2 linked regions of the Drosophila melanogaster genome follow. Changing the gene in region 1 together with any one later gene gives a genetic interaction. Each region holds a gene or a part of one and is shown in the gene's direction. Other genes may lie near its edges.

Evidence for each region. Genes that interact genetically often act in the same process or in processes that back each other up.
Region 2: of CG4080 (region 1) and Bx, changing one enhances a phenotype caused by changing the other (phenotypic enhancement), as found in Drosophila melanogaster (one study listed by BioGRID).

What each region holds. Positions count from the first base shown.
Region 1 is NT_037436.4:9,397,482-9,401,236, reverse strand, and holds the start of CG4080 (uncharacterized protein), read left to right. Parts: upstream 1-2,009; 5' UTR 2,010-2,650; coding exon 2,651-2,730; intron 2,731-3,755. Other genes in the region: eIF4E1 (eukaryotic translation initiation factor 4E1), read left to right, coding at 141-197, 284-654, 719-818, 1,053-1,140, 1,204-1,367.
Region 2 is NC_004354.4:18,564,151-18,567,905, forward strand, and holds the start of Bx (beadex), read left to right. Parts: upstream 1-2,155; 5' UTR 2,156-2,261; coding exon 2,262-2,474; intron 2,475-2,545; coding exon 2,546-2,988; intron 2,989-3,360; coding exon 3,361-3,486; intron 3,487-3,755.

The sequences.
Region 1 (3,755 bases):
ACTATCAACTATCACAAACACCGCGACAGAGAGAGAGCGGCAAGTGAATCACGGCGAATCGAAACCGATCCGAACCCACTCCGGAGCCGAAAAAGAACTGATCCTACCATCAAACGCATCCAATAAACACGGCCGCCAACATGCAGAGCGACTTTCACAGAATGAAGAACTTTGCCAATCCCAAGTCCATGTTCAAAGTAATACTCTCAGTGCGCCTGTCGCTAAGCCAAGCTAATCTAATCTTCTGATTCCCCTTCCCATCCATTGCCATCTTCTCCCGCAGACCAGCGCCCCCAGCACCGAGCAGGGTCGTCCGGAACCACCAACTTCGGCTGCAGCGCCCGCCGAGGCTAAGGATGTCAAGCCCAAGGAGGACCCACAGGAGACTGGTGAACCAGCAGGCAACACTGCAACCACTACTGCTCCTGCCGGCGACGATGCTGTGCGCACCGAGCATTTATACAAACACCCGCTCATGAATGTCTGGACGCTGTGGTACCTTGAAAACGATCGGTCCAAGTCCTGGGAGGACATGCAAAACGAGATCACCAGCTTCGATACCGTCGAGGACTTCTGGAGCCTATACAACCACATCAAGCCCCCATCAGAGATCAAGCTGGGTAGTGACTACTCGCTATTCAAGAAGAACATTCGGTGGGTTTGCTGTTTATTGCAATTCTGCCAAGATAACCTTTACTAACTGATATCTCATTTGCAGTCCCATGTGGGAGGATGCAGCCAACAAACAGGGCGGTCGTTGGGTCATTACCCTTAACAAAAGCTCCAAGACCGATCTGGATAACCTATGGCTCGATGTGGTAAGTGCACAAAGAAACGAGTGGTGAGCGGATGGTCTATTTATAGTGAATGTACATTCTTGAAATGCAAAAATATAGAAATAGGTGTATGATTTTGCAATATAAATTATAACTTATAGAAAATATCAGCTAAAAATACGCTAGTGCTAGCTTTTGTCTTAGGAACATTCAATAGTGAGCTTATATCATAAATATTTTTCGCATATGAGTAACTACAACTGTTTTGCCTTCCAGCTGCTCTGCCTGATTGGTGAGGCCTTCGATCACTCTGATCAGATCTGCGGCGCTGTTATAAACATTCGCGGCAAGAGCAACAAGATATGTAAGTTTTCACGCACACCCAACTTCAGCGGAATTCCTTTGTTTAACGATTAATGCTTTCCAGCCATCTGGACTGCCGACGGAAACAACGAGGAAGCTGCCCTTGAGATTGGTCACAAGCTGCGCGATGCCCTGCGTCTGGGACGCAACAACTCGCTGCAGTATCAGTTGCACAAGGACACGATGGTCAAGCAGGGCTCCAACGTGAAATCGATCTACACTTTGTAGGCGGCTAATAACTGGCCGCTCCTTATTCGGTCCGATCCCACACTGATTATTTTGTCTTTCATTTATTTATCGTTATAAGCAACAGTAGCGATTAATCGTGACTATTGTCTAAGACCCGCGTAACGAAACCGAAACGGAACCCCCTTTGTTATCAAAAATCGGCATAATATAAAATCTATCCGCTTTTTGTAGTCACTGTCAATAATGGATTAGACGGAAAAGTATATTAATAAAAACCTACATTAAAACCGGATACTTTTGATCTTTGATTTTGGAGATATTTTAAAATAGAAAAAAGTTAACCTATATTGTTTTTGGGATAATTACTTGTTGTATTACTAAAACGAGCTTGTATCCTAATATGGGCACCTAAAGCAAAACTTCCAAATTTGGAATTCAATTTGTTGCTAAAAATACGTTAGCAATTTCTAGGGTGGCCAAAAAAAAATGTGTATCGATATATCGATAGGTTTCCTAAATAGACATTAAAATAATTTTAGCTTTTTACTTATATTGTTAGAGTAAATACGTTTGTATTTAAAAAATAAGTCAGTATTTTTTTTTTATTAACCTATTATTGAATTTTATATGAGTGAGAGCTTTTCCATTCAGCCAAGAACGGTCACACTGCATGTGACATGTTTCAATTGTGTAGGCGCAGTCACACTGGTCGCGTCGCTCGTAGATATCGTGTAAGGATATGTCTCCGTGTTTAGCTAAATAAAATACATAAAATATATGTGCAATTCTAACAAGCATAGCCATTTAGCGTAGAGTAGTGGAACGAACAGCTCGTACCGGGCCAGTAACAACAAATTAACAAGCAAACGCACTAAAGTTTGTCGCGGAATAAAGATATAATAATAGACCAGCTAACCAACACAAACAAACACACACACGGCCAGAAGTTCGTTGGCGTTGAAAGGGAAAAATGAAACGAAATGAAAGGAGAATAACAGTGCAATAGATTCGGTTTACATTGTGCAAAAAATCGAAGTAGCCCCTGCCAACAGGGTCGCTAAAAATAAAGAAGGCGACAGCCTCTGTTTATCGTTGGGAATAAACAAATATATGGCCAGCGGAGGAGAATCATAACAAAGGCGCAAGACTAGCCAGCATAAAAGACAAAGGAGCTCTCCTCCCCCGCGTCCGCCACCCCCCTCCCTTTTTGGGGTTGAAAACCCCCCACGCGTTGCGGTGCAGCATCGCCCCGACTATGCGATACCCTGCAATCGAGTTTATAGTGCTATAGAGAGAGAGAGAGAGAGCGAGTTACGAACAAAATGCCTTGCGACAACGCCAAAACCTCTTCGGATATCGAGCATGTGGATTGGAATTCCGGCCAGCACTATGCGAATGTCAGGTGAGTTTTGAATGCCCTTGATATGGCCAAAAAAAAAGGAATCCTATAAGTTATTCAAGTACACCAAAGAACAAAAAAAAAAGTAAAATAAAGAAAAACGAGAAATAAAATAAAATCAAGTGCAAGCACGCAATTGAAAAATCGTGGGATGGTTGACATTCTTCTTGGCATTGTCCATTGTTTATTTATAGCCAGGAAACGGACATGATTTAAATGTTTGATTGTTCGTCGTTTGGGAAATCACAATAATTAAGTTCTCAACGCAGGCTGCAAGTGCTAAAAATCAATGTGTGTTCTTTGCGCCACAATAAACAAATCCAGCTGTCCATACCGACACGCAGATAAGATATACCTTAATCGAAATGAAAACGAAAATAACCCAATTTCAAGCAGCGATTGATTCATTCCCTTAATTTGTTGCTCTGCACCAACATCAACTGTTGAGATCTCAATCGTCGTAATCCCCATCTAACGCCTGCTAATGACAATCATTAGGCAATAGTTAACAACATTGACTTGTACTTACTTACTTACCATACTAGTTCCATGCCGATCGGCAACTTCGATTGAAATGCAAATATGGACACTACGATGCTGGGAAGGTGACAAGATCTTGACGCGAGGCGCCAGCTGTTATCTGTTTATACAATTATAGGTTTATAAATTACGCGCGATTTATTTATATTGCAATCTGACGTGACAGCGGGGCATTGACCATACCCAATACTCTTACGACTTTTAATGAAGCCAATGAGGTCTAAAATGAAGATAAATCATAAATATAATTATATATCAGTCATTGAAGACGTTCTCCATAACTAAAGCAGTTTAATGGTACTGGCTTTTCGATTCACTTAATTCGTATTGTTTGGTATTAGTATTTGTGGCTACCAACTTTTATTTGCCTCATAGATGTTGTATCTTTATCTTTAGTTATTCATCAAATTTTCAATGGAACGCTCTTAAATAAACATATTTACTCAATTGTATTTGAATGTTGAGAAATGCGGCTCTTGCGTAGCTAT
Region 2 (3,755 bases), on another chromosome or scaffold:
TTGAGCGTCCCCAGCACACAGAGAAAAACCGGTGGGGGTGTTTGCCAAAACTATGAAACTGCAGTAGGGGGGGTTGGGAATGTGGAAAGGAAGGCGGTGGCCTGATAAAGCATTCATGCAGCCACGCCCACTTTGGCAGTGAATGGGCGTTCGCTGGTGGCAATGCAATTGAAAATGAAATTCTAATATGGACGCGCGCTTTTCCGAGCAGCGTTTAGCATTCGATTTCATTTGTCTAAACTAAATAACAATGCAGTCTGCGCTGCCACATTGGCGTTGCATGTTGCAGCTGCCAAAATTGAGTTTTGATGCGCTGCATACCCCATACCCCATACCCCATTTCCCATTTCCCGGCCTGCACTCCTACGGTCCACCAGTCCGGTCCTGTTATTGTTTGAAACGTCGCGTTAAATTTACATAAATTGATTTGATTGAATTTTTATGAGTCGGCGGCGCAGCAGTCCAGTGGCAGCCACCCAGGCATCCACTTGCACCAACCCATCTGGCATTCTGGATGCCCCCGTCGACTGGCCGGCGGGCATCAACTGCTGATGACTTTTCGACCCGCCCTCCGACGACTCACTGGCGATGGGAGGGGGCACGTGGGTATTGGGGATCGGAGGCGACCGTCTAATTAAAGTCATTTCCAGCAGCTGCATAACCCCTACACCCACAACGCCCACTCTCTGGGCCGTGGTCAAGTCGAGGTCACAGTTGGCGCTACATGGCGCAGGGCTTAATGCGAGCCATTTGGCCCGGTTGTCCGGCGATGGGCAACGGACAGGGGCAACGGACAAGGGACGACAACGGACACGGACGAGGGCAATCAGCGAAAAGAGAGGCGGCCAAAGGCAGAACCAGACACGGCACACATTGTGTGTACAACTTCTGCGGCGGGCAAAGAATGATGCACTGTGAAAAATAAAATGTGAAAGTACTTAAAGTTTCTACTGAAACTTTGAAGAGATTCGCTGACAGGCAGATTATTTTAAATTCCAAATAAGCTTCTTACTTTGTGCCAAGGACATTTAGGAACACAATTATCTCTTGTTTTTATATATAAATATTAAATATTATTTGTTGTTTCTTGAAAAAAAAAATGATGCAATGATTCCCCGCATTGTTCAGTGTAGTGAGTGCATTGCGGCATCGCTGGCATTGCATATTTTTAGGGTTTCCTCGCTGCTTGCTGAAATTTGCACATTGCAACAAACTATTTAGCGTTGGCAAGGGATGGGGGGCGCCAATTTGTCATAAATCTCGTTATTTTAAATCGCCGCTTGGCATTCCACGAAATTGTGTATGGGTAAATGGGCCTTTTGTTTGTATTGATTTGTTGTTGTTGGCTGCTCGCTTTGCTGGTTTCTGTTAACGTCAACGTTATCGGGCGACAACAGTTGAGGATAATACATACATACTATGTTGGGGGCTACGAGCACTATTTGAAGAGAGTCCAAAAATATGGGATATTATCGTAATTGGCCAAAAAAAAAAATTCCAAGTTCCTTAACATCGCTGGTTGAGTTTCTTAGCAAGGTGCTGAACGAAAGGAGAAAGTACGAAAAACGATCGCTAACTTTTTATTGGGTGATTAGCAGCGGGTCATTCAACGAGGCTCGTTGGTCTAGAGGTATGATTCTCGCTTCGGGTGCGAGAGGTCCCGGGTTCAATTCCCGGACGAGCCCAAGTGAAGAAGTAGTTTTTTTTTATTCAGCTGAAAATATGTCATGAAAATATGAATATTACACCATTTCATTGTGGAAATTGCATTTTCAAAGGGGTATTAATATTTTGCATAGTTTGCGAATTGTGTGCGAATCCAATGTGCACTTTAGTGGTCAGCCCAAAAGTATGCTGCATAATAGTGATCTTTTGTACACTGACGCCATCGCAGAGGCGCGCATTTCACAACACTGTGCCACAGCTGATAATTGCCGTTACATTTTGCCAGTGGCCGACACTTGAAGAAATTTACAATAAGGAAAATGCTATAAAAAATTTATTTGATATAACAAAAATACAATTACCAAACTATTTTTATGAGTCCAATGCATTGATTAGTGCATCTTATTTACAAAAGAGCTATTTTCTTTTGAGAACTTAGTAGCATACGATAGTTTACACGCCATAAAATGTTATTTTGTTTGTGTATTGCCAACACTGCCAACACTGCTAGAAGAAGACTCAGTAGCTTTCTGATCTTTCGCGGGTCATTTTTGTAAGAAAACTGTTGAAATCGAAGGAAACAGGAAAACATCGAAATGGAGTACCTCTACAACGCTAGTATGCATTGCGAAGATGAAGAACGCGTCAATTTCTACAACATGGACAAGTTCTTCGTGCCCCACGTGCAGTCGATTGAGCTGGAGCAGCAGGCGATCCTGCGGCAATACGTGCCCCAGTACGCTTATCAGTGGCCCTGGGGATTTGCCCCTTCCGCTTACAGTTATTACCAGGGATTCGGTAGCCTTAATGTACACACACACACAAAACTCCGGCGATGGAACCTTGAGTAATAACTATATCTTCTCCTGTCCCCTTGCAGATGATGACTATGGACATTACCAAAACCGAACCCGGTCTCGTCGGGCTTTCCTCCAACCAACAGCAGCAGCAGCAGCAGCAGTCGCAGCAAAGCAACGCCGGCATGAACAGCGGTGGCCAGAACAACGGGCCCAATCCCAATGGCAATGGGAACGTGGTCAATGTGGTCAACTCCGGCGGTGCCGGTGGCGGCAACAATGGCAACGGGAATGTCCAGAGCATCGCCGCCGCTGCCAACAATAATAACAATAACAACAACAACGGCAGCCAATTGTGCGCCGGCTGCGGCAAGCACATCCAGGACCGCTATCTCCTCCGCGCCCTGGACATGCTGTGGCACGAGGACTGCCTCAAGTGCGGCTGCTGCGACTGCCGCCTGGGCGAGGTGGGCTCCACGCTCTACACCAAGGGCAACCTGATGCTCTGCAAGCGGGACTACTTGAGGTTAGCTGCGATTTAAGAAATACTAAAACCATTTGATAGTGTAATATACCTAGAAGTATAATAGACGATGGTATTCATTAGTCATGTTAGAAGTTAAAAATGATACCAATTCTTGAGAACTCAGGTCTATAATGCTTATAGATAAAGTATTCATTATATTCTGTGACTTATTTTTAGTTTTATAAGACTTTAAGAAGCTTTCTTGCTAAGAGTAATTTATATTTAAACAGTACCTATTCTACCTAAAGCTTTTTTTTACGCATATTCAATTTAATAGCAAAGAGTAAAGATGTTTACTTAAAGAAGTCAGAACCATGTAAACCATATAAACTTCAAACTTTTTACTAATCTGTTCATAACTTTTCCCCGCAGATTGTTTGGCAACACGGGCTACTGCGCCGCCTGCAGCAAGGTGATCCCAGCCTTCGAGATGGTGATGCGTGCAAGGACCAATGTCTATCACTTGGAGTGCTTCGCTTGTCAGCAGTGTAACCACAGGTGAGCATCGAAAGGAATTTGGCCAAACTGGCCCATTGCCCCATTGTGGGGCAGACCATACATCATCCATTGTGTGGGAGAAGCGACTAAACGATTTCGCATGCATTTTTATGGGCAATTTGCACAGAGATTCGCATTGAAGGTGGCCACATGAATCCCTTTTTAATCTTTGGCCCATCGGAGCGGGCCCAAAGTGGCACTTGAAGTTTTATTAACGTGCCGCCAGACAGCAAATTGCCATCGTTTACAAGCTAACGGCTAAACAAACG